4 linked regions of the Elephas maximus indicus genome follow. The protein of the gene in region 3 interacts with the protein of the main gene of each other region in a pairwise test. Links are inferred from orthologs where the notes say so. Each region holds a gene or a part of one and is shown on either strand. Other genes may lie near its edges.

Region 1 (7,319 bases), on a different chromosome or scaffold from region 3:
ATGCCACTCCAATGTCAGCATTTTCTCATCTGTTTTGGGGCTTTTTCCTCTCTTTCTCACTCCCCCAAAGTATTTTGTCCTCAAAATAGAGGAGCTATTCTTCAGATTGTTTTTATTCACATGTGGCAGATTCCTCTTACTGTCCAGGTTGTCTGGTCAGGCCTCTCCCATTTTCAGGAGCCGGAGCCTGCATTTACAAAGGGATTCTTGTCTATCAAGTGAATTCTCACTTGTAAATCTTTTTAGTCATTTTTGTTCTGCAGGTTTTTTTTTTTTTTTTTTTTTCATTTTCACAAAGCTGTAAAGAAGTAATCCATCTCAACCATGTCCTTTTCTTTGGAGTCAGTGGGATCTTCCCTTGTTTCATCTTACGCAAACAAGAGCTGGAAGCTCAGCTGAGGTTTTGTTTCTTGTCTGAGATATTTTGACTTCTCCCCTTTGAAAGAAAGACCAGGAACTGGAGGAGCAGACTGACTGAAGAAACAACTCCTGGCTTTCTGAAGCTGTGGACTTGGATTGGATGAATTGCTGGGGGTTTGGAGAGAAAGGTGATGAATTTCAGTACCTCTGGCATGCTGCCCCAGGAAACTAGGGCTCCCACTAATTTATGAGGTTTTTAAACACCTTGAGAATGAGATGGCGTTAAAATAAATTTGGATTTGGTCATATTGATGTGCATTTGTATGTTGCTCTTATTTAAACAGAGGTGGGGAGTACCGGTTGAGTAAGTGAACATCAGTTGGAACTGTTTTTCTACAGTGCCATAATCTACCTCCTAGTCAAAGAATATTTGGAGTTGGGGAAGACACAAATCCTGGATTCTCTGAATTACAGCATAGTAAATTACATATAGGAAATGGGAGTTTGATGGTGATTTAATTTTCTAAAGTAGCAATGTGCTACTTGCTGTTGACACTTTGGGACTAGGACACTATGTTGTGTATTGTAAAGAAGAAGAAAAAAAAAACACTATACAAGTATTAATTTAGGAACCCAGGAAGGATGCTTTAGTTTTTAATGTTCCGTAATCAGGCGTTGAAATTCATAGTCTTCAAGCCTTTTTATACTGCTCTCTGCTTCAGGGCCAGGTAGCTTGAGTGAATATTTGTTCATTAGATTTGAATACCTTACTACATGTGAGGCACTGGTGACTTGGAGGTATTACAATGAACAAGACTGGACACAGGTCCCCTCAGATCTTAACAGATTAGTAGGCAATTAACCGTGGAAATTTTGATGGACTTAATATATAAATTTCTTAAATATATATGTTTTCAAAACCTTGTCACACTCTGATGGTGACAATACTAGAACTACTTAAACACTTGTAACAAGGACTGTAAATTTTTAAAAACTCAATTTCCCCGAGTTAAAAAAGTGAAATGTTATTCTATAAATACGAAAGGGAAACCATCAAAAGGGAGGAGGAGGGATTATAGCACAAGATTTTACAGTATTTTAAACATTGAACAAGGTAAAATCTATGCTGAGTTCTTTTTCATCCTTCGTAATTCAAGTTTCCTGAAACCAAATCTCTGATGATTCTGACCTAACCACACCATGGTCCTGGCAAATTCTTAACACCAGATGTCATTCTTGCTCTGGAGAAACCAGTTGCCTTCAAGTCGATTGTGATTTATAGCGACCCCATAGGGTTTCCAAGAAGGGCCTGGTGGATTCGAATTGCCACCCCTTTTGTTTAACAGCCAACCTCTTAATCACTGCCCATGCCCAGTGCCATCGAGTCAGTTCTGACTCAGCGACCCTATAGGACAGAGTAGAACTGCCCCATAGAGTCTCCAAGGACTGCCTGGCAGATTCGAACTGCTGACCTTTTGGTTAGGAGCCTAGCACTTAACCACTACACCACCAGGGTTTCCTCTTAATCACTACGACTTGGCTAATCTGGCTTGTTCCCCTCTGTACGTTGGTTTTATCTTCATCCCTAGGTGGGGAATTACTTATTCTCAACAAATTCCTGGCAGTTTAGTTTGGGATGGCTAATGACATTCTGCCTCAGGCATTGTGGAAAAAGCTCCTAATAGCTGGCTATTTTATTCTCTAGGAGTTTTAGGAAGTTGATTTTTAATAGTGACTTTTCCCCACTCTCCATTTCCCATCCTTCAATGTTCTGGCATCTAGCACCTTCGGAAATAACGATATTGAACTTCCCTGCAGCAATTTAATTTAGAAAACAAGGCAAACCCGTAAAGCAAATGATGAATTTTGTACACACAGTAGGCACCAATACAGAATAAAATGGAGGGTTTTGCCAGGTAACTGCAACTCCCATAAGGCAATGAGAAAGGAGGCGGAGGTCACTCTCTTGTCCGCACCCCTTGATACCATACTGGGAGACGCTCACCTTATATAATGCAGTGTTGGCGTAATGAAAATTGTGGGGCAGGGGGGCTTGGTAATTTGAATTCCAGATACTCTTTAACGAGAGAACTAACGGCGTCTACAACGCTTCAGCTCAATAATTCGACCACCTGCTGTTTGAGAGATTGTTATTTCACTCAGGCAGCCCCGCCCCGGGGGGGCGGGAGGCGGAAGTGACGACACTGGATGCTCCATAAAATAGCTGTAGGCGGAACTCGGGCTCTCTCTCGGCCTTAGCGCCATCTTGTTAGGTAGGTGTTTCTACAGTGTGGAGTCCGCATAGAATCCATTAACATCTTGCGGCTGCACGTAACCATCATCTCAGCAAACTAACTGTAGCTTTTTTCTCTTTCCCCGTAGAAACCTCCGGACCATGAGAGCCAAGGTGAGCGATTCCTGAACAGTGAACTGAGTCGGTAGGGATTGGCGAGTGGGGTAAACTAGCGAAGTCCGCCATGGTACCCAAATCGCTGGGTTCTCGAAAAGTGCCCAGGAGCTCCTGGGATAAGGATAGTTTGGTGGGAAGCAGAGGAGTTGGGGAGAGATGGCAGGGGTAGAAGACTGCAGGTGAGATGCGGGTTTACATCGTGGGATCCAAACTGATGGCAGTTGCTGCGACCAAGCCCTCTTACTTAAGAACCTGACTGAAAGGGCTTTTGATACCCCTACCTAACCTGTTACTGAAACTACTGATTTCTTGTTTTATTCTCTGCCTCTGTTACGATCGGTTGCAGTGGAGGAAGAAGCGAATGCGCAGGTATGTTGAGGCGTTGTCAGTACTGGAAGCGGGACGGGAGCACGCCTTCGGTAAAACTTGGGGGGCGGGTGGCATTCGGTCTAGGAATGTAAAAAAATTGAATGCACTGACTTGCTAGAGCCAGGAAGTGAAAACTAAAATCGTATTGCTGTTTCGTTTTACCATTTCACGTGTTGTATGACCAAAAGGTCAGCAGTTAGAATCCACCAAGCGCCCTTTGGAAACTACGGGGAAGTTCTACGGTGTAGTAGAGGGTCGCTTTGAGTCGGAATCGACTCGACGCCGGCGGGTTTGGGTGGTTTTTTTCTTTGTTTTGTTTATGTACATAAGTGGGAGAGAAACTGACCATAGGTTTGGAGGCAGGAGTTAATGTATTCATTATCTACTTGCAGGCTGAAGCGCAAAAGAAGAAAGATGAGGCAGAGGTCCAAGTAAACGCTAGCGTGTGCACACACGGAAGCCACAGCAGCAGGAATATGGAATGTCGGAGGCCAGGGACGCTGGTACAAGTTGCTGACTGCATGCTACTGTCTGGAACTTATCTCAGTGGATCTAGAATTTCCATCGCCATTTGATCGCTGCGAACACCTTCGAGGGGCCCACCTTGCTTGTACTAAATCAGACCCTTTTGATATTTGCCCTGGACCTATGACAGTCTGGACTAGTTCTGTTCTCAGTTGTGGCTGAGTGTAACATGTGCACAATAAATCATCTCTTCTGCTGTTTTGGCTGAAGAACCAAATCTTCTTGTCTGTTATATGTGATTTTTTTTTTTTTACGGTTCTTTTGGGGATTATCACATTTTGTTTGCCGTGTCACTAGTGACCCGTGCTATGGAAGATGTGAAGAAACTCCATCAGCTACAGAGCCCTGTTCGTGGGTTGCAGCCCCGGGCCCCAAAGCCAATACTTAGAAGCCCTTTCGGCAAAGGGTGTAATACACGCCTGGGGATAGGTTACCGGGTTGTTTGGGAGTAATGGCGATTCCAATTTGCCGCCTCTTTTCGGGGCAACGGTATGTGGAGGAGATGCAGGGCTGTTTTGATCGGGTTGCCATGGTGACTCGCAGGGGTTGCTGGGAACTTCCTGTGGCTCGCGCAAATACTTAACACGCCATAGAGTATAATTCCGGGTCTGGTGGCTAGAGCGTCATTTCTTCCGCAGGAAGCGGAAGGATGATTGGGTGGGCGGCTCTTTGTCGAAGCTAGAGGACCGGCAGGCGGCAGCAGCAACTACGGCGGTGGCGGCAGGTGAGGGAGGCGGGAGAGTTAGGTGGAGGCCGCGCCCGGAGGGGAGGAGTCGGGCCGGCCCAGCGGTTGGTCTCGGGCGGTCCGCACATGGCCCCCCAGGAACGAGCTGTCTCTTTCTCACACCCCAAGGCCGAGCCTCTTTTCTGAGTGACCCCGCTTCGCGAGCAAACGCCAGCTCCGTGACGTCACAACCTTGCCCATCCCCTCAGCTTGATGTCACCTGGAGCCCCCCCCCCTCCATTTCGGGCTCCCGTAGTGTCCTATCCAGCTGGTCCACGGCTGAGCGCCGGCGGCGCTTCACGGAACCTGCCAAGCTGGAAGACTTGCTGTGGGGAAACTCGTAGAACTTTTTTTTTTTTGGGCAAACTCTGGGATGTTACCAAGCGTCATAATCACCATCCCCAAATCTAATCTGCCATCCACTGCACTGTCAGTCACTGCCCTTCTACAGCTCCGAATTCGGTGTTCCTAACCCCAACTCTAGGCTGGGGTTTGATCCCCACATTCTCCATCTTGAGGCCTGCAGGGCACATCCCTCATTCTTCGTTTTCCATCCCATCGTCCCAGCTTCTCCAAATTAGTTCTGTCGCTTATTCTTCTTGCTGGCGACATCTCCCTTTGACAGGTGAAGAAGTGCAGTTTGAACCCTAAGGAAATTTTGAAGTGTCCAGAGCTCTTGCCGTTTTGTCAGACTTATTCTTGTGACAAACCACCGTCCTCCACTCTTACCCCTTCTCCCACCCAAGTGTCTTTTTTTTTTTCCTGTTCAGAACCCAGCAGTGATGTGGAGGTGGAGACCCACAGGAGCTCCGGACTTCACCTGAGCTACCTCAGGTATTGAATAATCCTGGGAGAATTGGGTGGGAAGGAATGTCCTATCTGATTATCTGCTTCTGGTGAACTTGCTTCATGGGTCAGGCTTGGAAAGATGATAATTTATTCTTCACTTGGTGATTTCCTTTTCAGTAAAAGTTTTATCTTCTCTTTTACCACCCCTTTTCTTGATTGTTTCTTTTATTTTGGGGTTACTTCCTTTTGGAGGTAAAGAACTCGTCTTCTTTTATAGATTATTTAGTAATTCTGGCCTCTGGTCTGATCAGTTCATTTTAGGGGAATTTGAAGGTAAAGTCAAGGCAACTGGGGAGAGCGAAGGCCCAAAAAATCAGGAAAGCCTTATATACTCATGGGGAAACAATATGAAGTTTTCCTATTTGGACACCAGAGGGAGCCTGAACACTGCCTAGGAAAAGCTTAGGCGGTCAGACACGTGGTAGCAGAGTCTCACAGTCTTGGGGGTGGTAGGGTGGTGGTTGTGTTAGAACCGGGTCAGTGGACTGACATTCCTGAGCTCTCTAGAGAAAGAAGAGATTTAAAAAGCTTTTATAGAGTCTGTATATAAAGCAGGTCTTTATGGGGTGAGGAATGGTGTAGTTTGATGTCAGTGGGATCTTCCCATAGGGAGGGGGGCAGGAAGAGGGTGTAGAATGGGGAAAGAAAGGTCACTTGTTCCTGTGGAATTAATTCCTTCCTCCCACCTTGGCCGTTTCACAGGTGGATCTGTCCTGGGGCCTAGAAGTAGAGATTGTAGCTATAGCACTCCTTCCTTTAAAGGGGAGTGGAAGGAGGCTGTCTTCATGGGTTGAGAGTGTTGCTGGGTGAGGAGACAATACATAAGTTTAGGAACTGCCCTCAAACTGGTCATACCAGTCTTCACCCAGGATTTCTTGAGCTTTAGAGATCTGACACAGGGGCCATGGAAGAAGGGTTAAGGGATGTTGTTTTGTTACCAGTGCCCCGTCATCCCTAATAGCTCACCAGCCTATTTTGACCACTGTTCCCTGTCTCCTCACAGCTTATTTAGATACCCACAGTAGTTTTAATTTCACTTCTACAACTTTAATAAGGCCAGGTCAGAAGTGAGATAAAATTCAACACTATTCTCTCCCTTCCCCCTCCTCAGACCGCCTGTCAGCATTGAGATGAGGTGGCTTCATCCCAATTGCCTCCCTTCTCCGTTAGCCAGGCAAGTGTGAATCATTCTGACCAAGACTAGGTGCACAAGGGCCTGGGCAGGGACGTCTGACAAACAGCCAGTCCAAACAAGAATTCTCTTCCCTTAGATTCTCTATCTCCAAAGCAGTTTCCCCTCTGGCCTGCCTCATGCTGGGCTGCCCTGCAAGAGTGGTAGCCTTTCTAGAGGACTCCTGTTTGACACAGCTTTCCTTTTTCCTAGCTGTCACCAAGGGTGGCAAGAAAAGGAAGAAAGCCCTGAGTTGGGGGGAACCAGGATGCCTGACCGGGACAGCTATGCCAACGGCACAGGGAGCAGCAGTGGAGGCCCTGGAGGCGGTGGCAGCGAGGAAGCCAGTGGGGTGGGGGCAGGCAGTGTTGGGGCCAACTCAGATGCCATCTGCAGAGACTTCCTGAGGAATGTGTGCAAGCGAGGCAAACGTTGTCGCTATCGCCATCCAGACATGAGCGAGGTGTCCAACTTGGGGGTAAGCAAAAATGAGTTCATCTTCTGCCATGACTTCCAGAACAAGGAGTGTAGCCGCCCAAACTGCCGATTCATCCATGGCTCCAAAGAGGATGAGGATGGTTATAAGAAGACAGGAGAGCTTCCCCCTCGGCTGAGGCAGAAAGTGGCAGCTGGCCTGGGCCTTTCACCAGCTGACCTACCGAATGGCAAGGAAGAAGTCCCTATTTGCCGTGACTTCCTCAAGGGGGACTGCCAGAGAGGAGCTAAGTGCAAGTTCCGTCACCTGCAACGAGATTTTGAGTTTGATGCTCGGGGTGTAGGAGGAACTGGTGGTGGGGGCTCAACAGGCCCAGTCCTGCCAGGACGACGTCATGATCTCTATGATATCTATGACCTCCCTGATAGGGGCTTTGAGGACCATGAGCCAGTCCCCAAGCGTCGGCGAGGTGGAT
Region 2 (6,944 bases), on a different chromosome or scaffold from region 3:
ACGACACAGAAAGCACAATGACAAAAGAAAAAATAAACTGGGCTTCATCAAAATTAAAAACTTTTGGGCATCAAAGGAATTTATCAACAAAGAGACAACCTACAGAATGGGAGAAAATATTTGGAAACCATATATCCGATAATATACAAATAACTAGAACTCAACAACGAAAAGGCAAATCGAATTGAGAAATGGCAAGGTATTTGAATAGACATTTCACCAAAGAAGACATACAAATGGCCAACAAGCCCATAAAAAGATGCTCAACATTATTAATCATTGAAGAACAGCTGCCTTCAAGTCAATCCTGACTCATGGTGACACCATGTGTGTCAAAGTAGAACTGTGCTCCATACGGTTTCCCATGCATGATTTTTCAGAAGCAGATCACTAGACCTTTCTTGTGGGGCACCTCTATGGGGACATCGCCAACCTTTCCGTTTGCACCACCCAGGGACTCCCATTAGTCATTAACCCAATGCTGTCAAGTCGATTTTGACTCACAGCAATTCTATAGGACAGAGCAGAACTGCCACATAGGGATTCTGAAGCTATAATCTTCACGGAAGTAGACTGCCACATCTTCTTCCTGTGGAGTGGCTGGAGGGTAGACCTTTTGGTTAGCAGCCGAACGCTCCAACCGCTGCACCACCAGGGCTCCTTCCATTAGTCATTAGGGAAATGCAAATCAAAACTACAATGAGATACCACTTCATACCCACTAGGATGGCTATTATCAGAAAAACAGAAATATCCAGTGTGGTGAGGATGTGGAGAAACTGGAATCCTCATTCACTATTGGTGGGGCTGTAGAACGGTCCAGCCACTGTGGAAAACAGCATGAACGGTCTTAAAAAGTTACACATAGAATCTCCATACGATGCAGCAATTCCACACCTATATATACAGCCACGGAAACCCTGGTGGCATAGCGGTTAAGTGCTTTGGCTGCTAACCAAAGGGTTGGCAGTTCGAATCTGCCAGGCGCTCCCTGGAAACTCTGTGGGGCAGTTCTACTCTGTCCTATAGGGTCGCAATGAGTTGGAATCGACTCGATGGCACTGGGTGATTTCTGGGATATACAGCCAAAAGATTTGTAAAGCAGGGAATCAAAAACAGATACTTGTACACCAATGTTCACTGAAGCATTACTCACAATAGCCGAAAGGTGGCAACAACCCAAGTGTTCATCAACAGAGGGAATGAATAAATAAAATGTGGTATACACATACAATGGAATATTATTGGGCCATAAAGAAAAATGCAGTTCTGACACATGCTAAGACATGGATGAACCTTGAAAACATTATGCTGAGCAAAACAAGTCAGACACAAAAGGCCAAATATTGTATGATTTCACTTACATGAAATATCTAGAACAGGCAAATGCATAAAGACCAAAGTTTATCAGTCGTTACCAGGGGCAGGTGGGAGGAGAAAATGGGAGGTACTGCTTAAAGAATATTGAGTTTTCTGTTAACGGTGATGAAAAATGTGGAGAAAGTATTAATGGTTGCACAACGTGGTCAATGTAATCCATGTCACTGAATTGTACATGCAAAAATGGCTGAACTGAAGAACAAATGGTTGAATTGGCCAATGTTTTGTTACATGTATTTCACAACAGAAACTTTAAAAATTTTTTTAAATAAAAGCAACCAAATATTAGTTACGTGCTCTTTATTAAAAGAGCAACTAAAGCATCAGTAAATTCCCCATTTTATAGTCTCTCTCCCAAAAACATTGCCTATCATACAAAGTTTTTCTCTACTGACAGTTGTACGCTAAGTTCCATGTCTACTCGCTCAATTTAACTGTTAAGTCCTAGCAATAGGTTAATCTCTCTCCCTTCTCTCCTCCCCTTAGTTACATGTAAGATATATATTCTTGTGGATATGGCTTACCATCACAAACCAGAATATCAACGAATCTATCAAATCTTACGACAGACAGCTTGATAATATGACAGAGGCACCAAACTAGGGTTTTTAATTTTATATCAGGAATTTCTACCTTCAACGAAAATTAATTAAAAAGGGCAAATACGGAGAATAAAAATGGAAACACACTGTTGAAATTTATTTTACTGTTTGATATGCTAGGCACTGTAGAGCACTTCACACATTCCTCATCTCAGTAAATTCTCCTAACAACAGTATGCCTTAAGTGCTCTATTTTACAGATGAGATCAAAACTGAGGTTTAGCAGATTCAGTAACTTGCCCAAGACTGTAGTTAGCTACTGTCGAGTAAACTCAACTTATGGCAACCGCATGCACAACAGAACAAAATGCTGCCCGATCCTGTGCCATTCCCATGATCAGTTGTGGACTGGACTTGTTGTAATCCACAGGGTTTTCACTAGCTGATTTTCAGATGTAGACTGCCAGGCCTTTCTTCCTAGTTTGTCTTAGTCTGAAAGCTCCACTGAAACCTGTTCAGCATCACAGCAATACACAATCCTCCACTGACAGACGGGTGGTGGCTGAGCATGGGTGTACAGGCCAGAATCAAATCCGGGTCTCCTGCCCTAAGGAGAGACTCCTACCACCGAACCACTACTGCCCCCGCCCTCCCCACCACCCTGGGTTAGAATCCCAACCAGGATTCAAACCAAGTTTTCTCACCCTAGAGCCTACACTTTTCCCCAAGTCACTGCCTCTTCCAGTATTAACTCCAAGTAACATCTGTAAAATCTTCAGAAATTCCTAAATGGAGGCAGATTTGGGTGATCTAAAAAACAGAAACATAAAACAGGCCCAAAAGTTACCCCTTATATCGGCGATTCTAAAATGTTTTGGTGTCAGGACCACTCTACACTCTTAAAATTACTGAGGACCCCAGTGAGCTTTTATTTTTTGGGATTATATTTTCCAATATTTACCATACTAAAAAAAAAATTTTAATACCAATTCATTCAAAACGAATAAACCTATTACACGTTACCATAAAAAACATTTTCATTAAAAATTACTATTTTCAAAAAAAATTAGTAAGAAAAATAACATTGTTTTACACTTTCGCAGATCACCTCTGTTTATAGCTCAACAGAAGGCAGTTGGATTCTCGCATCTCCTTCCGCATTCAGTCTGCCGCCATATGTAGTCTTGGTTAAGTACAAAAAAATCTTGCCTCATACAAATTTGTAGTAGGAAAAAGCATTATTTTAATAATCTGTTCATATAGCTGTGGACATTCTTTAATAGGAAAACTCAACAAATGGTAGCTTAAGGTATACACTGCACCATCTGAAACCTTATCAATCAACCTTTCATACCGTTACATTAAAATCTACCAGTCCATCTTGCCGTTTTAAATGATCTTTTTTTTTTTTTAACCCACGTGCGATTTTATAGCATTATGCACTGGTCATCTGGGAAACAGACTGAGTTATGTTAATCTTGATCTTTCAAATGTTGGCATATTTCATTACACAATAGTTGAAAAAAAAAATCACAGTCCCTAATCACTGATACTACCATTAAATTCTTTTAAGCACTGGGAAGCTGTCAAAATTCAAGCTGTCAAGTTTTTTAAAATTCCACTTTTCACTGGAATTTTATCATTGGTTAGCAAATACTGTCAACTGTTTTTCTAAAGTGACATGCTGCTCACTTCATTCATTTTCCAGCAAATAATCAAGTCTGAAAAACTAGTTTGTCAATTGTCCTTTCAAATAAAAATGCTGTTCCATGAAACAAGCAGCTGGTTCAGCTCACAACTCAATCTCACAAGTGCTTTTCCTCTGCAATTGTTCGTTGGTAAGCAGCGTAAGTGCTTTATACGTACCTTCCGTTTCATGACAGATCCTTAAAAAGACTGCACTCAGGGGTTGAGAATTAATAAAATCAATAATGCTTACTGTTTCATAAAGAACATTCTCAAGTCCAGTAGAGTCTGGTGCCACTGCCTTGCTTTGTGCTACAGCATCACCAGTACTTTTACCCAACACTGTTTTTGGACCATCAGCGCAAATGTGAACGAAAAACATAAATAAATAAACTATTTTGAAAAGTTTTGACTTCCTGGCTTCCCTGAAATGGTCTGGGATCCCCAGGGGTGAGCAGACCACCTTTTGAAAACTGCTTTTCCTAGGTTATACACTGGTTCAAGGAAAAGGTTGAAACTCTTGCAAGTCCTGTTGATCTCAAGAATCACATTGTTAGTTTCTCAGTTTGGGATACACCACCAACATAGGTCAGGAAAGGGGAGGGAAGCCAAGGGCATAGATTGCCATTTCATTCTGTTTTAACTGTATTTTGAGCAACTTTATACTAGACCAATAATTCTCTATGTGGCAGGTACCTTAAGCAGAGTCATCTCAGGGGCTGCAGGTTAAAAAGGCAGGAAAAATGACACTCCGGCTCCATTCCACCCAAATAGTCTTTGGAAATGAAGCCCCCAAAATTGCATGTTTAGCAACCTCCCATTTACTTTTTATGCACCCTGAAGAACGGCTCTGCTTAAGCAGTTCGAATTCAGAATCCAATTTCCCAGTCCTAAGCCCATCGAATCACGAAATTGTCATTCACCAAGAAACTGCCCTTCTCGCCCCCACCGTTCCTCCTTCAACTACTTGGGAAAACTCCTTTAAAAGTAAAACCCCATTTCTGTGGGATTTTCAGATGCGGAGAGGAGTGTCTCAAAGAGTGTAGAGGGCCGGGCCTCGGTCTGCCACAAGAAAGCTGTTATGAAATACTACAACTGTATCTCAATTTCAATCTCAAAAAAGAGATTGGGCTAAACGATTTACAAAGCCCTTTTCAGCTCTACCTTTTTTGAGCTAAGAACGCCCGAGACAAGCAAGCAAAGAAACTTTTAGCTTCATTAGCGGTCTGAAGAAATCCCGCGACTGGCGGGAGAGGAAAATCAGGACAGCAAGCAAAAAAGATGGAAAGCAGGTGGATAACGACGCCAGCCCTTTTCAGTCGGTGCTAACAATCCAGAGAAAATAGTCCCTGAGTTAAACATGGCGCCCACGGCGGCAGGATATAATTATCAGAATATAACGATTCTCCGCCCCATCTCATTTTATAAATCACGGCGCCATCCCTAAAGACATTTTGAGTCCGAGGGAGGGGACTCTGTAAACTAACTGGAACGTACTAAGGGTTGGGATGTACTATTAGACAGGAGTAGTCATTGCATAACACACGGGTTCGTCTCAGCAATCGCTCTTTTTCCTCCTCTTTCTCTCCAAGTCCACCCCTCTCCTTCCTCAAGAGAGAGCAGGGGCGGGAAAGGACCAGGAACGAACGCCCACCCCCAAGGGGAACGCTACCCCGCTGCCCCTCCCGCCGCAGCGCCGCCCGCCCTCCTCCCCGGCGCGGCCTCGCCCCCTCGCCAACACCCAGCCGTCTCGCCGCCGCCCGCACCCCCGCCCCTTCCCCAGCGGGCCGCTGCACGCGCCCGCGCCCGCCCACTCCTCCGAGACGCCTCGCGCCCGCCGTGCGTGTGGACGTCGGGATGTGTGTGGAGCCGTGGGACGCGAGTGCGCGCGCGCGCCGGGGGGCGGGGGCGGCCGGCAGGCAGGCAGAAGCCTCCACCACCCGGCCGCTGCACCGCTCCGGGGGCGCACGCACACACAGACATACACGCGCGCGCGCGCCGCACCCCACGCCCGCCACTGCCGCGGGCCGCGCCGCCACTCGCGATGTGCGGGGGCGCGCGCCACCGGCCCCCCCGCCCCCACCCCCTCGCGTACCCGCCCCATCCCCCGCTCATTGTCTCGCCTCGGAACGCCTAACCAAGCGAAAAGATAACGGAACCCCCGGGAGAAAGGGGTGGGGAGAGAGAAGGCTCGCTCGCTCACTCACCTCCCGTGGTCGTCGCCGCCGGTACTCTGACCCGAGGAAGGCGCCGTCGCCTTAAAGGGACCTTGCACCCGACGCCGGGAGAAGGGGGTGGGAGCAGGGGAGGGGACGGGGCTTTGGGGGGAGACGAAGAAGAAGGAACCGTTGAAAACTCGTCTCCCCGCGGGTGTAAAGAAATCTCCCTCGGATTCAAATGAATTGAGGTGGATTTTTTTCCCAAGGGGGGGCGGGGGGCCCCGAGGGAGGGGGTGGGGGGGCCAAGGAATGCGGCTCCGTGTACGGGAGCTGGCGCGGGGGAGAGAAACGCAGACTCCCCCCACCGACCCTCTCGCCCCGCGGAGGGATACGTCTCGTCACTTCCGCCCGCCCCCTTTCGTGGTCTTTCAATTGGTTGGAGCTCCTGCCACGTCATGAGCTCATCCTATCCCATGCCCGGGCTTCTTTTCTAGTCAAGTTTGTCTGGGCCGGCAAATAAATACATAAAGAGGAAAAAAAAATTTTTTTTTTAATGAAAAAAGAATTGGCTTCAAAACCAATATCTAAATTTTTGTGGGAAAAATGGATTTTCCAAAGAAAATATTCCTCAATTAACTTGCCAAGACTTACCAGGGAAATTTGGGGTGTGTCCCCCACATCCCATTCAAGGCCTGTACCCAATCAAGAAGGAACTTTAGGCCAGATGGTGAGGCCCAGTGGCAGCAACAACTGTTATTGGAACACAGACATAGAAATGGCACTCGCTCTTCCTCAAGAGACATTCAGCCAAGTAGCTTTATGACAAATACTGAAGAACTTTTAAAAGCCATTTTTACCCTCAAACCCTCTGAGTTCTGGAGAGTCATGCATGAATGCTTATCCAGATGATTATTATTTTGAAAACTGCTCTGAAACCATTGTGAATAGACTCAGCAGGGATCCCCAATTCTAAGAGCCATAGATGCCACATACATGATTGTGTTCCAGTCAAGGATGAAATAACGTGGCCCCCAAAATTGGTTACGTCCATTCAAGACCATACACCTGTTAATTTTTCCAAAATAAAAACTAACTTCTTTTCCAAGTAGCCAACGAATTTGGTCCTTTATTGCCTCCCTAAAGGATGATAAAATTTTAATATTTTTCCTTGTGTATC
Region 3 (7,727 bases):
AAAAGAAAATTTTGACCACGGTTTTAACTTCGAAGTGTCTTTAAGCTTAGCAAAGGAATAAAAACCTGAACTGGAACCATAAGAAGAAAGTTATGTGGGAGTTTGGAGAATGGAGATTTCTTCTAGCTGGAATAAATCAAAGAAAACTTTAGGAAAAGGTGTCACTTGAGCTGCGTAATATGTGAGGATTTAGGTATGTGATGATGCGGGAGGGGGTGGAATACTCCAAGTGAAGGGAGCAGCATAAACATAAGGACAGAAAAATTTCAGTACATGAACAGTAGACTAAAAGGCCCCATGTCGTGAGCAAACTAAAGACCAGACTTAAAAAAAAAAAAGAAAAAACAAATTCTGACTCATGACGTGTTATGAGTAGAACAGGGTTCCATAGAGTTTTCAAGACTGTGTGGGACCTTTCAGAAGCAGATCACCAGGAGTCTCTGGGTGGGTTCTAACTACCAACCTTTAGGTTGGCGCCACCTGGAGACAGAGGCCAGACTTGTCTCTCAAATACCAGGCTAACAAGTGGAGGTGGTGACCAGACCGCAATTGCCTTTTAAAAAGATGCCTACTGCTGGTTTTGAAGCGACCAGATGTAGCCATCTTTAAATACCAAGGTTAAAACATCTACTCTAAGAGCAAATATAAAAACATTTTGGGTCACACTGCACCATCTATTAATCTGGATAATGTTAAGGATTAAATGAATTTAGAAAATGATTAAAATAACACACAAAAAAAACTTCTGCTAAAAGGCAAAAACAAAAACCTTCCTTAAAGTTTTAGAAATGGAAAGAACATTGGATTAGGTGTCTTCCGAAACTTACCAGTTGCATGATCTTAGTAAACATCATTATAGAAAACAGGCACCACATAATGAAGACCTACTTTATGTGCCAGGGACTGCACTAGGTGCTTTACATTAGTGAAAAACTTCTTAAAAGTCCTCAGAGAAAAATCTCCTTTTCTTCCCCCAAATTCAGCCACTGTTGTAAGGTACACCTCACAAGTCAGAACCTTGTTTTTCAATTTTAGAAAAAAAAAAGAACCTTCTAGATCTCTTCTACCTGAACTTCCAGACAGGATAACTGCTTCCTAAAAAAGTCTTTAGCAAGATATACACGGCATTTTACCAATGGGCTTTTCAGCCCAAGCTCTCCTACTGCCCCATTCCATCTTCTGCCTCAAGCACATTATGCTTCTACATATACTTCTCTTTGCCAGCAATGCTCTTTCATTCTTTTCTGTCTGAAGAAATCTCATCGTCCTTCAATGCCAACTAAAAGTGTGGCAATTTGGGTTAGAAGCTGGCGAAATGGACTCGAAAAGAGTGGAGGGAGAGAGCCGGCTGCTGTCTCATTAGGGGGAGAGTAACCGTGAGTGTGTAGCAAGGTGTAATAGGTTTTCATGTGAGAGACTGACTTGACTTATAAGCTTCCACTTAAAGCACAATAAAAATTATTAAAAAAAAAAAAAGTGTGGCAGTGTTAAGTCTTAAACCAGAGTGTTTATAGCTCACACACAAGTACCTGCACAGGACTCTGAGCTTAGCCCCTGGATAGCACTAACCGTTAAGTCTCAGTAGTTCACCTTCAATCTCCACCACGCAGGAATGGTTCTCATTTACTCTTGCCCTCTCCCTCCCCATCATCACATGAATTGATGTCTGGCACATATGAACTACTCAATATTTGGCTGCCAACGGAGATTTCCTCTCACCCTAAAGAAAACGCCACAACACTATTAATTCTATAAACATTTGATAAGAAAAGGTTAAAACCGGCTTAGAAAACATACTAGAAAAAACAATTCAGGAAACGGCTATGGACTGAGTCAAGCCTGACACATTCAAAACAATCCAGAAAGCTTAAAGAATTAGTATATTCCCAAGGGTGGGAGACTTCACAAAATGAACGAAGGATAACACTAATAGGAAGAAAACTTATATGCAGCCTCGGGGAAAAAGAATGCTCAGGGCTATCCCTCTTCTAAGACTGAGGTTCCAGGCGCCGAATGGGCTGGCCTTACAACCGGGCAAGAAAGGGAGACGGCTCGGTTGGGCTCCCTGACGAAGAAGGTGTGCGGTTCTGCCCCGGTGAGCGGGGCGGGGAGAAGAGGAAATGACGAGCCAAAAGGGGGTGGTAACGGCGCGGGGCCGGGGACCCGGGGCGAGCGGGCTGGGAGGAGGGGCGCGGCTGGGCAGTGGGCGCGCTAACGGACCCCTCCTCGGATCAGGGAGGCGGCGCGGGCGGGCCGGCCCGCTCCCGCCTTCCTTGGGGCCCTGTGGCCAAGGCGCGTCTACTCCGGGTCTCCCTCCCGACCTAGGGGGCTGCAGACACACAGACCCGGCTCACAGAGGGCTGGGGGCGGGGGGAGGGCGGCAAAGGCTCCGCGGAGAGAGTTCCCGTCCCGAGGGCCGGACCGCCGAGAATGCAAAGACGGGTTTAAGTTGTGAGACCAGAACGACCAGGAGGAAACCGCCGAGGCCTGGGGCGCGTGTGTACCTGAGCGTAGGGGCATTCGTGGCAGGAAACCCTCGGCCTGGGACCTGAACACTTGGCCTAAGGGTCGGGGGAAAGGGAACGCATCCCCAACCGGCACTGGCACCCTGCAAAGGCCGGGACCTCGAGGTGCCCGCTCTCAGGGGCGCCATCCCCGCACGGGGCGGCCCCCTGCAGGCCTTGGCCGGGAGTGCCCGAGGCAGTCGCAGGCTCCGGGCCGGGGCCGCCGGCCGCCCGGCTCGGCTAGGCTCAGCTCGACTCCCGGGCTCGACGGGCGCCTGGGCCTCTCCTGAGTGGTCAGCGAGACCCGCCAATCGGGGCGCTGGGGCCGGCTCTGGGCCGCTGGATATTGGCTCCTCACACTCACCGTGCCTCGCTCCCCCGGTTCGCTGCCCGCGCTGATTGGCTCCAGTACCGGACCCCGAAACCCAATCAGAGGCTCCAGCCGCCGCTGCCGCCGCCACTGCCGCTGCCTCGCAAAATGGCGAACCCGAACAAAGGGGAATCGGGCCTCCCTCCAACCGTCTCCGCGCAGGCGCCTCTAAGGCCACGCCTTCTAACCCCAGTTCTTGGCTCGCCCCACCCCCAGTTGAAGGAGCACCGCGCAGGCGTCCCCGGAAGCCACGCCCACTTCCCTGATTTGACACCACCCCCGGCTGAAGGAATACGCAGGCGTCTTCATGATGCGTCGGACACCTCAACTCAAACACCGCCCTTAACATAGTATCACGCAGGCGCTAACTAGCGCATTTATTAGCTGCCCATCCCCTTCTTTGCGGCCACGGGAGACACACCCCTGGTGCTAACGCGCAAGCGTCGCTCTTCCCAACTCGCGGCCGGCTTTCTCGTTACGCATGCCCGGGCGGCGGCGGCCGACTCCACGGAATTTACCGCCGGAAGTTCGGCGGCCATTACCAAAGAGTGCCGTCTCGGCTAGCTAGCTAGAGAGGCTCTTTTCCGCTCCGCTACCGGGTGGTGGGCAGCCATCTTAGGTGCGTACAAATAGGGGTGTAACGGGATTGGCTCCGCATCTGGGCTTGTCCTCTGCTCCGCACCTACCAGGGCAGGATCCGGAGCCTTTCCTCGCGGGGCGGGGAGCTCTTAGCGGCTGACTCCTTTCCAGGTGAAGGGGACCCCGGTGATGTTGGGGCTTTGAGCCAACTTCCCCATTCCCGCAACGGGACCCCAGGATAGACCCTATACCCTCGCTGACCCGCCCTAGGGTAGCCAACAGAGAAGGGGAGGCTTATCTAGAGCCTTCTCGCCCCGCCCCCGGTAAAAGGGGGGTGAACCTTCCTTGAGAGGCCGCCTTTCCACTTCTCCTGCCTGCAACTCAGCATGTCCTGGCCCGTACACTTTCTTGTTGCGGTTTATTGAGACTGTTGCCAGGTCCTTCCCATTTTCTTCTAGGTCAGACCCACTGGGGAGGTACTTTAGCGTCATGCAAAGAAAAGGACTATCCTAAATCGGCCTTGCTCCGGAGCGGGTGTGGAGAAAGGAGGAGGTGTGTCTTAGGACCGCCTTTGCTTCCGCTGGTGCAGCGGTCCACTTCAGAAGCGTGAAATGAAAGTGGGCCAGGTATTTTTCCTATTCCTTGCCCCAGAAGAGTTTTGTCTTACTTCCTAGAGGTTGAGCGAACTCACCTTTAGTGGTAAATGTTGGAGAAAAAATTAAATGAGTGAGTGGTCAGGGCAGTCAACATCTTTCAGACTGCCTAAGCATAATTATCGCGGTCCTGGTGGCGCAGTGGTTAAGCATTTGGCTGCTAACCAAAAGGTTGACAGTTCTAATTCACCAGCTGCTTTTTGGAAACCTTATGAGGGCAGTTTTACTCCGTCCTATAGGGTCGCTATGAGTCAGAATCGACTCGACGGCAACGGGTTTGGCTTTGTTTTTGGTTTAAGCATATTTATTTCCTTTTCCCGTTTCATAGCTGAAGAAACACATTCTGGAAATAGCGACTTAGTATCATGGCTGGCAGTCCTAATGAAGATTCAGAAGGAAGCAGAGTGCGTAAAAACTATTAACTTATTGGTGAACTGAAATTCAGAATAATTGAGGTCAAAACATAAACACTTTTTAATTAAACCAATAATTGAATTGTCTTTTCTTTTTCTCTTTAGTTGATTTACTTCACAAAGGCTAATACAGTCCTAGTCAGGGACCATCTATCACTTTCCGTTTCCCAGGCTTTAATTCGTTGTCTTTAACTCCTCAAATTAGATTCTGAGAATTTGGTTTTGAAGTCAGATTACTGGGGTGGGGGGAAGGGTAGTGATGGAGGACCTGGAGTAAAGGAAAATGAAAGAAGCAGCTTAGTATTTTTTCCTATCTAATAAGACTTTTTTTTTTTTTACACATTTTAGATCACATACATAAAAGGAGACCTTTTTGCATGCCCTAAAACAGACTCTTTAGCGCACTGCATCAGTGAGGATTGTCGTATGGGCGCTGGGATAGCTGTCCTCTTCAAGAAGAAATTTGGAGGGGTGCAGGAACTGTTAAGTCAACGTGAGTTTTGAAAACAAAGTGTATATGTTCTGCTCTGGTTAGAACGTCTTTTGATCTGTTAAACTTTATTTAACAAGATACAAATGCAAAAACGGGGATCCTAATGGGGCGAAATATCCAATAAGGAAGGTAAGCACTGTGCTTACGTTCCTTACCGATAATCTGTAGTGAACAGTTTCACTACGGATGAGTAAGTAAGCCAATGCTTACCTTGCTTACTGGGTCACTCACCCCTGTCAGGAATCGTTAATTTAAAAAGAGTCTTTGATTCTGTAGGAAGGTGCCAGCCATGCCTAGAAGTAGAATCTTTGATGTGAAAAAAATGTGTAATTGTTCACTACAGATGATCTGGCAAGCGAGGTAAGCACTGTGCTTGCCTTGCTATTGGATAATTTGCCCCTGATACTAACCACTGAGTATGTTTAACTATTTAGATTAAGATTTTCCCCCACAAGAACGGCATCTAGTTTGGGCCCTTATCTCACCAAACGTGAACTTTGTAAAAGTTCTAATGGCTTCTTTTTCTAACATAAAACTTTAAATTTATCTTTATATACTTCTTTGATAGTATTTCTCCACTTCGCTGAAACCTTTAATAACTCTGAAGTGGTTAGCAAAGTCCATAGGAATTAGCTGAGCATTCAGGATCCTTTATTTACTGCTACTCTAATTATTCTTCAAAGAGGAGTTTAGAAATTCCTCTTCCTTAACTCCTTCTCCCCCATTACTTTTTACCAGTGATTTTAAGCCAGAAATGTACGTTAGAACTATATATGGAGCTTCTGAAACCATACTGACAGTTGCTCAGACCATGTTCCAGGCTTACTGAATCAGTCTCCAGCAATGATTCTGATTCTAGCCTTAGACAAAAGTGATGTCTTACTGGTTGGTGTTGTTTTTTATAAACATGATGCCTTTTCTGTATCAATAATTCCTTAGCAGTTAAAAAGCTTTTTATATATCTGTGTTCCCCATAACGCTTAGCATAGGTCTTTGTATGTAGAAAGTTAATTATTGAATGAAAACACATTTGGCAAGTAAAAAATGCACATATTTTAAAACATAACTTATGGGTAATAGACTTTAAAATTTTTTAAGAGGAGACTGAAGTATATTTGAGATTGGGGGCAGGACAAAAGATGGGGTGGGAGGAAAACGTGATTGCAAGAAAGCTGAAAGTTCAGACATATTATTTAGAAAGGCTGAAGTAGCAAAGTGTTCCTGGGAAACAGTAGGTTTCTTCAGACCTGAAGATTATTTCTGGTTCTGAGAGATAAACCTAGATCTGCAAAGATTAAAAAATCTAAGAATGGAGATTGGCGTTTTGGTTTTCTTTTTCCTTTCTGCTATTAAATAACTTTTCTTCTTAGAAAAGAAATCTGGAGAAGTGGCTGTTCTGAAGAGAGATGGGCGGTATATATATTACTTGGTAAGATGGGGCCAATTCTCAATACATGCTAAAGACTGGTGAACAGGTGGGTTACACTGCATTTGTGTTGGTCGTGATGCTGCACGCTAGAGAACGAAGGATGTCAAAAAGCTTCTGCTGTCCTGCCAGCTCAGATCCAGTGGCATTGGCTCTCTGGAGCACTGTGTTAGAGAGGGATGTGAGGCTGGGAAAGAGTACTGTGCCATCCACTGTATGCATGTGTTCTAGGCATGTGCAGAAGTTAGAGATGCCCCACTAATCTCTAAGCCAAACCGTGCTTTTAATTCTTTTTAATCATGGTGAGATAGGAACAATAATGTCTCAAGAGACAGTTTGGCCAAAGGGGTTTTTCTCGCATCCTGTATCAAAAACAATGCCAGGTAATACCTAGCTCTTCCTTGGCCTTCTGCCTGAATGTGGGATTCTTCAATTGTTCGAGGGGTCTGCAGTCCCAGAAAACCTGTAGCTTCCTTAGAGGTGGTGTTGGGTGACTTACAACCAGCCCACTACAAGCCTGATGAGGACGGCAAACTGAGTGGGGGAGATGTTCTGCCCTTTGAATGCTGTCTTCGAGGCTGATGTTGTGGGCTCTGGTAACTTCCAATCTTTTTAGCATGTTTGGGACACTATCGGTTTCTCCCTGTTCTTCTATAGAGAAATGAAAAGCAAACACAGTTTCTAATAAACGTTTTTTTAACAAGTAATTTTCAAATGGTATGGCTTCTTCCTTGTTACAAATATGCAGTTTATCTTTTGAAAGTAGCACAAAGACTGTCTACGTTGCTTAAAAACAGTAGACAGTAGGCATAGCCTGTTAATCTCATGAATTTCCTAGGAAAAGGAAAGATTCTTACACAGCAGCATCTGGGTTTCTTAGGCTCTGTTTAGAGGATTTTCCTGAGGGTTTCCCATAACAGTATGGAAGGGTCAGTATGACATTTGCCATCTCTGCTCTAGAGTAACTATGGAAATGAATTTATTGTAATTATCAGGATGTCGGGGGAATGTGATGGCTTTTCATGGGCTATCGTTTTGGACTAATGAAAGTTTGAATCCTTTTTTTGTAAGTAGATTACAAAGAAAAGGGCTTCGCACAAACCAACTTATGAAAACTTACAGAAGAGTTTAGAGGCCATGAAATCCCACTGTCTGGAGAATGGAGTCACCGACCTCTCCATGCCCAGGCAAGGAAATCCAGGGCCCTGAATTAAGATTGAACTGGTTGGGGGAGGGAGTGTCTCCTACTCAAAGACAAAGGACTTAAAGGTTTTATTTAACCCAAAATG
Region 4 (7,578 bases), on a different chromosome or scaffold from region 3:
TTTGGTTTATTTAAATGTTCATTCTTTTTGCTTCTGGCTATGCCACTTTTTTTTTTTTTTTTTTTTTTTGAAGAGCAAGCCAAAAACATTAGCCCAGAGTCTTGGTTCTCAAGAAAGTATTTGGATCACACCCGATTTTCTCACAGTTACCCTTGTGAAAGCAAAGTCCAGCCCACAGTATTTAAGCAGATTCCGTACTTCCATTCTGGCCTGAAATCTCTAATAATCTTCCTGCCACGTTTTGTTTTATAATCTCTGTTACCTCTACTTATTAATCCATACTACCAGAGAACGGTAGGTTCTGGAAAAGAATGCAAACCAGCCTATTTAGTTTCAGTAATAATTAGTTGATTAACTACAGATTTATCTGCTATGATGTATTTTATTAGAAAGTTGTCTATGCAGAATTGTCTGTCATATCAGAAGCCTCTATCAAGTTGAAGGCATACAAGCGAGAAGATAAAGGCAGCAAATAAATCAAAGATCATTTGGCCACTAGAAGAATATTTTTTATAAAACTATCTGAACAAGCATCCTGTAAATTTAACCATTTTTAACTGTCCCAAATCACAGTTGTTTAACTTGTGATTCAAGATGAGGCAAAAATAGCTGAGATATAAGAATCAGAGAAAGAGGAAACCCATGTAATTAAACACAGTGTTTAATATTAATTACATTTATAACACAACACCAGGCCTTCTTGGGAATACTGATGACAAGCTGTGTGAATAAAGAACCATCACTGATTGTAAAATAATGTGTCACTGGGCTCCCTTTAGCATTTTTTTAAATACAGAATTTCAAACGTATGTAAAAACAGGTTGAATAGTCTAATAAACCCCAATGTACCTGTTATAGGTGCTCTGGTGGCACAGTGCTTAAACGCTTGGCTGCCAGCTGAAAGTTTAGTGGTTTGAACCCACCAGCCACTCCTACCGGAGAAAGATGTGGCAGTCTGCTTCTGTAAAGATTTATAGCCCTGGAAACCCTGTGGGGAAGTTCTGCTCTGTCCTACAGCGTCGCTATGAGTTGGAATTGATGGGTTTGGTTATGGGTACCCGTTATGGGTTGAATTGTCTCCCCCAAACATGTATTGAAGTCCAGGCCCCTAAACTGAAAACAAACAAACCCGTTGGTGTCAATTTCAGCTCAAGTGGCCCCATGTGTTACAGACTAGAACTGCTCCATAGCGTTCTCTTGACTGTAACCTTTGACAGAGCACAAGGCTTTTCTTCTGTAGCGCCTGCTAACCTTTAGGTTAGCAGCCAAGTGTTAACTGTTTGTTGTGCCACGCAAACAACAACAAAAAACCAAAATCTGTTCTGTTTTGCCCTGGCGTACATTCTGATGCATAGCGACCCCATAGGACAGAGTAGAAATGCCTCACAGGGTTTCCAAGGCTGTAATCTTTACGGAAACCGGAAGCCAACTGCCACATCTGCTGGGAGGTTCAAGCCACCTTTCGTTTGGCAACCAAGCTCCTAACAACTGCCACCCAGGGCCCTTGAAATAGGGTTTTTGTTATGCTAATTAGGTCATACCCAGTAGGTTGGGCTCTAAATTTACTCATTTCTGAGTTAGGAAAAAAAGCAGAGCGGATGAAGACACATAAAAGGAGAAGAGAAAAACAGAGGAGACACATGCAGCCACAAGGACTTCTGGCAGCTACTAGAAGCTGAAAGACAAGGAAGGACTGCCCCTAGAGCCACACTCTGAATTTGGACTTGTAGCCACCTGAACTGTGAGAAAATAAATTTCTGTTCTTTAAAGTTTTTGTTATGGCAGCACCAGGTAACTCAGATAGTACTCTTCCTCAGCTTCAACCATTACACACTCATGGCCAAACTTGCCTCATTAATACTCCATCTATGTCTCTGCTTTTGTGTTATTTTGAAGCAAATTCAAGTCTCATTATTTTGTTTTTCAGTACACATTTTTGAAAGAGAGGGTATTTTAAAGTAGAACTATTATCAAACTTAAAAATTTATCAGTAACTTTAATTTCACTAAATATCCAGGAGCTGTTCAGTTTCCAATAGTTTCATAATTGTCATCATTTTCTTTTACAGTTTATTTGAAGCAGGATCCAAATAAGGTCCACTCATTGTGACTGACTGATAGGTCTCTTTGCTGTTGTTAGTAGCCTTTCACTCACAGCGACCCCATGCACAATGGAACGAAATGCTGCCAGGTCCCTGCCATCCCCACGATCAGTTGTGGATAAGACTGTTATTTATGATCCACAGGGTTTTCAGTGGCTGATCTTCAGAAGTAGATCTCGAGGCCTTTTTTCAGGAAGCTCTGCTGAAATCTGTTCAGCATCCTAGCAACACGCAAACCACCACAGATGAGTGGTGGCTGGTCATCAAGTGCATCAGCCAGGAATTGAATCTGGGTCTCCCACATGGAAGACAAGAATTCTACCATGGAACTACTAACGTCACCTGTGTCCCCGATCAATCCTCCCCAATTGTGATCAAGTTGTCTCTGACTCCAACTCATGGCAACCCCCCGTGTGTCAGAGTAGAACCGTACTCCTTAGCATTTTCGATGGTTGATTTTTCGATGTAGATCACCAAGTCTTTCTTCCCAAGCATTTCTGCGAGGACTCCAACAGCCAACCTTTAGATTAGCAGCCGAGCACGTTAACCATTTGCACTGCTGTGGAGAGCAAATCTCGTGGATTATCCCCATCTCCTGTATGCAAGTAGTCTTAATCTAAACCGATTGCAAAACATTTGTTCATTAACAATACCAAGTCGTAGGGAGGAAAAGAAGATGAAAGATGAGAGATGGCACGTGCAGAGTTGGGGGTGTGCATATATGGAGGTAACACGTTCTCTTAAAATAATATGCAGTGAAACTTACTGGAAATTGTTTTGTATAATCTTTCTGGTTGTCACCTGAACATTAAGTGAATTATGAGTGTTGATGGGATCATAATTTATACAATATTCCAAAAATAGTATGGTTTTCTGTGTATTTTTAAGGTCCCAAATCAGGCAGCTGGGCAGTCAACTGTGAAGCGACGGAGTGGTAAGAGCAAAGTGGGTAATCAGATGGTATTAGAAGAAATCTCAAGGTTTTTGCCTAGTCACAAACTCATTCCATAATCTCCCATTTCTGAGTCTTAATGGCCTTAGTTTTCTCTAATCCCTTCCTTCGGATCCGGGGAGGCTGCATTTTTTCCTCCCTCTTGGTAGGGTGCCTTTGGTAGTCATTTAAACCTGGTTGCACCAGCATATAACTTCTGGCATTTTTTTTGTTTGCACTTTGAGGATAAACTCCCTCATTGCTTCAGATTACACGTTTGTCAAAATGCCTTAAGAAAAAAAAAAACCCAAACCCACCGCCGTCCAGTGGATTCGGACTCATAGCGACCCTAAAGAACAAAGTAGAACTGCCCCATAACGTTTCCAAGGAGCGCCTGGTGGATTCCCACTGCCGACCGTTTGGTTAGCAAATGTAGCTCTTAACTACTACGCCACCAGGGTTTCCATCAAAACACCTAGAGACAAGAAAATTAAGTACTGCGAGGTCTGCTCTCTAAACAGGACATTCTCTGTCCCGCGTGAAATGTTGATATAAAAGCAGAATTTGCTTGGGCAAATGTGGGAAAAACCTGTTGAATTGCACTCCAAGACATGGGCATTTTCTGCTCGCTCTCACAGCGAGACGCCACGAGAGTTGGTGGGTCAAGGGCATGCATTTCAGATATGATTAGTCACTACGTGCTGGCCATATGGAGCCGCAATATTTAAAAAATCAGGAAAAGTTATTGTACTTCCTTATTCCAGTGATGGTGTTCCGTTTCGTTTTTGGCATTTCCACGAGCGTGAGAAGTTATTTAAAGTACGTCAACTAATAATGGCCGAAGCTTTGGGAACTCCGTCACCGGCCTCAATACGGTGACAAACGGCTCGGCGGTTTCAGATTACTGCTTCTGGAACACGAAAACATAGGCCCAAATCAGCCTTCAGCCCCTTCAGAAACAACCGAGAGAAGGTCCACACTCAGTGAGAAGCGCTAACACGGCGCAGCTTGCAGTGTGATCTCAGTTCACGCCGGGAGAGATGACTCCGCACTTAAAACTGCCCCAGGTCGGACCTCGACACGGGCCGGTACAGAACACGTGACCGGCCCTCCTCCGCGGCCATGCCTGTGTAGGCTGCTGCCACCGCCCCTGTCACATTCGGAGCTCCTCCAGCACGGGGCGGCGCGGAAACGTCTGCCACGAGGCAGAACAAGCCAGCTTTAGATACCCGTGTTACTAGAATTCGCGCCTTTCCCACAAGTGTTTTGCAAGTTTCTCAACCCAAATGGGCTTCCGAAGACTTCCGCCTGAGTGCCAACCACGTGATCACGCGATACTTGGAGAAGCCACAGCCCCACTTCACTACTCCTGTCCCCGGGCTCCGCCCGCCCAGCACTCTCCACGGCGCGTGACGACGCGGCCCGCGGCGGCCTCCGCCCCGGCGCGCCTGCGCACGCGGCTCTCGCGGTGTCTCGCGCTCGGCCCCGCCCACCTCTGCCCCCGCCCTTTCCGTCCCTCCCTCCCCCTCCGCCCTGTCTCTCGGCGGAGCGGCGGCGGCGGCGGCTCGCGCAGCGCGTTGGCTCGCTATATAAAGGGGAGAAGCGGGCGGACCGGACGGCTGGAGCTGCAGCCGGTGGCAGCAGCGGCGGCGCGGGGAGCGGCGACCGGTGGTGGTTTCCCTCCTTCGCGCGGGGTGGGGAGCGGGCAACGCCCCCCGGACCCCCGGAGGGTCTTGGTTTTTTTTTTTTTTTTTTTTCTGGGGGAAGGCGGTTCTCGAGGTTTTTAGCCCCGGGAGGAGTGCCCCCCCGCTCCTCTCTCCGCTCCCCTCTCTACACCTTCGGGATCCGATTTTACAATTTTTCCCAGTCGTGCGGTGGCTCGGGTCACCTCCGGGTGTTTTGGTTTTGCTTTTTCTTTTTTGATTTTGTTTTTACCTTGTTTTCTCGGGGTTCACCCCCCTCTTATTTGTGTTGTGTGTGGAAATGGCGAACTCGGCAAACACAAACACCGTGGTAAGGACGTGGTTCGGTGGCCGGCGGGGGCTTCATGCAGGCGGCAGCAACGGCCGGACCGGGCGGGGGCGGGGACGGCGGCGACACCCGGCCTCGACTCTCCTCAGCCGCCCGCGCGGCCGCCGCCGCTTCCCGCCTCGGGCGGACCGGGCCGGGCGCCGGGCGCGGGCGCGGGGGGGCGCCGAGGGCTCGCGCGGCGGCGGCGGCGGCGGCGGCGGGAGGGGGCGGCGGCGGGGCCTGGGGCGGGCCGGGCCGCGGAGGCGGTTGGCCGGGGCGAGCGCGCGGCCCGGCCCCAGACCCCGGCGCCGGGAGGGAGGAGGGGAGCCGCCGCCTCCCCCGAAGTGGGCCCGTCCGAGCTCGACGAGGGCTCCCCGAGCACCTCAAAACAAAAACCGTGTCTGGGGAATTGGGCCAGCCCCAAGCCCCGCCGCGGTCCACTTGAATGCAGTGGAAGGCTGATGCCACTTCGGGGGCTAGTCTGGGTTTTCCTGGCTTAGGCTTTGGGACCCTTCATTGGGGCCATTTTATGTCTAAGGAAAACGGACGAAGGTTGAAAAGTACTTATCTCGGTTCCTTCCGAATCGGTAAAATGGCGAAGGGGAAGCAAAACCCCCATCGGATCTCCGACTAGCAAAAGCACCAAAACAAACAAAAAAAAGCCTACAGTGGTCAAAGTGCCCCTGCTTTCGCCTTAAAATTTGCCTCCTTCTCCCCCGTTTGCCCATTTTTTGGTTACTTGCGATCACGTAGGTTTGCAAAAAGCAGTCACATAAAAAACCTTTTCAGTCCCCAACGCAATGTGATCACTAGTCCCCCCGACTCTCTTATTTTTATTGTGCCAATAAAACACGTCTTTGCCCGGTCCCGAATGCCGCAGACCAGCCCGCGGCCGCCCGACACCGTACCGTTGGCGACTCGGGTCGATCCATCATGGCTGCGGCCGCTTAGCCTGCTTTTCAGTCCCTGAGCCTTGTGGTCCTCCTCCCTTTGGCTGCCCTGTTTATATAGAGCCATTGCCGCTCTCTAATATAGACTCTGCCAGGATGGGAAGGTGCTTTTCAGGCCTACGTCACCGCCTCTCCATTTAAACACCAGATCCGGCTTTAAATAGTGAGAGCTGCTGCGAGCAGGGCTGGGAGGTTCGTGCTCCCGAGGCGAGAGGCTGGCGTGTGTAGAGCTCAATTTATTCCTGGGTCCTTTTCTTAACGCTGTAATCTCGCCCCTCAGGGGGGCTGCTTTCAGAGCCTCAGATGTTTTGATGCTGCAGCTAGGGTTTGCTTTCTTTGGTTTGCCAGGGGAAAACATTCCGAATTACTATCCCTTCTATTTTTATTTATTTTTTTTAAAGAGAAATTTTAAGTAACAGGGTTTAATCCTATTTCTTGTACTGGAAGGTGTGTACCTTATTGTCGGGAATTTAAAAATGCTGTCTATATTAAGTGTCAGCTGCAGAGGACTTGATTTGGGAAGGGATAATTTTATCAAGTATTCAGGAAACTTAGAAATCTAGCTCCTGATATTTCATATTTTTTTATTGTTTCAATATGTTTTCTGCTAATATCTGAAGACAGAAAGCTTTTCAGAGGTCATAGATAAGTGGCTAAAGCTTTACCTTAGGATTTTTTCTCCACGGTAAATTTATGTGTAGGGGAATTGTGAGTCACGAATGAGGAGATTTAGTGCAAACTGGATTTTAAAATTAAAAATCTAAGTAGATTCCCTGTATTGCATTGGATGATAACATGGTATCCAGTATAAAATTAATCCAGTTTATTTTCCAATGTTGCTGTGCATTCTGGGTTTAAAATTCTTTTAATTGCTATAATATGGATGTTTTTGTCAGAAGTATATAACTTGAATCATTTTGTATGCCCAAGGAACCTTCTAAGACTTTTGAAAGGAACCTTCTAATTAATCACTTGGTAGTGTCACTAATTGCCCTCTAATTTACCAGTTTTTAAGTTTGGAATATCTCCTAAATTGCCTTGCATTAAGTGCAAGAAACACTTTGGCTCAAGTAAAGTTTAGAATTTTAAGTAATGGCCTGGATATTGCTCCACAGGGTCTCTATGAGTTGGAATTGAATCGAAGGCAATGGGTTTGGTTTGATTTTGGTTTTATATCACATAGTGCCTGTGCGCCCATGTACTTTAAAATAAAGCATCAATATTTTGAGGACTTTTCAACTCACGAGCAATTTTCCTAAGTTGTTATTTGTGTATATACTTCATGAAGAATACATATTTCCCTTCCTATTTTAAGTGTTCAAGTCATAGGTTCATTTAATGTAGAAAAGGAAAGCCTTAAGACAAGATTGATTAATTAAATTGCGAGTACCAGAAGATAGCGTATTTCTGTCTGTAAATGTCTGTATCTTTAAGCAAAAGATTTTTAGGGTTAACGGACTTCAGGAACACCAAAACATCTCATTTGCTGGCAAAATAATTTGTATTGTCAATTTGAGATTTATGCTACAAATTTAAGAATACCTGCTTCCTTTATAGTGCCTCGAGGGGGTCATTATTGGTTAAAA

The links.
Region 1: the proteins of NFYA (region 3) and ZC3H10 interact in binary tests that used the Homo sapiens proteins (3 or more experiments, as listed by UniProt). The two-hybrid records come from large-scale screens. The link is inferred for Elephas maximus indicus from reciprocal best matches to the Homo sapiens genes NFYA and ZC3H10.
Region 2: the proteins of NFYA (region 3) and POGZ interact in binary tests that used the Homo sapiens proteins (3 or more experiments, as listed by UniProt). The two-hybrid records come from large-scale screens. The link is inferred for Elephas maximus indicus from reciprocal best matches to the Homo sapiens genes NFYA and POGZ.
Region 4: the proteins of NFYA (region 3) and GTF2A1 interact in binary tests that used the Homo sapiens proteins (3 or more experiments, as listed by UniProt). The two-hybrid records come from large-scale screens. The link is inferred for Elephas maximus indicus from reciprocal best matches to the Homo sapiens genes NFYA and GTF2A1.

What each region holds. Positions count from the first base shown.
Region 1 is NC_064822.1:116,074,975-116,082,293, forward strand, and holds the start of ZC3H10 (zinc finger CCCH domain-containing protein 10), read left to right. Parts: upstream 1-4,310; 5' UTR 4,311-4,388; intron 4,389-5,158; 5' UTR 5,159-5,222; intron 5,223-6,621; 5' UTR 6,622-6,676; coding exon 6,677-7,319. UniProt on the Homo sapiens protein: Specific regulator of miRNA biogenesis. Binds, via the C3H1-type zinc finger domains, to the binding motif 5'-GCAGCGC-3' on microRNA pri-MIR143 and negatively regulates the processing to mature microRNA.
Region 2 is NC_064821.1:185,499,477-185,506,420, forward strand, and holds the start of POGZ (pogo transposable element with ZNF domain), read right to left. Parts: upstream 3,010-6,944; 5' UTR 1-3,009. UniProt on the Homo sapiens protein: Plays a role in mitotic cell cycle progression and is involved in kinetochore assembly and mitotic sister chromatid cohesion.
Region 3 is NC_064819.1:105,459,447-105,467,173, reverse strand, and holds the start of NFYA (nuclear transcription factor Y subunit alpha), read right to left. Parts: upstream 3,010-7,727; 5' UTR 2,869-3,009; intron 2,852-2,868; exon of another isoform or gene 2,505-2,851; intron 1-2,504. Other genes in the region: ADP-ribose glycohydrolase OARD1, read left to right, coding at 4,472-4,510, 4,868-5,012, 6,383-6,441, 7,513-7,625. UniProt on the Homo sapiens protein: Component of the sequence-specific heterotrimeric transcription factor (NF-Y) which specifically recognizes a 5'-CCAAT-3' box motif found in the promoters of its target genes.
Region 4 is NC_064828.1:94,359,216-94,366,793, reverse strand, and holds the start of GTF2A1 (transcription initiation factor IIA subunit 1), read left to right. Parts: upstream 1-4,569; 5' UTR 4,570-5,015; coding exon 5,016-5,045; intron 5,046-7,578. UniProt on the Homo sapiens protein: TFIIA is a component of the transcription machinery of RNA polymerase II and plays an important role in transcriptional activation. TFIIA in a complex with TBP mediates transcriptional activity.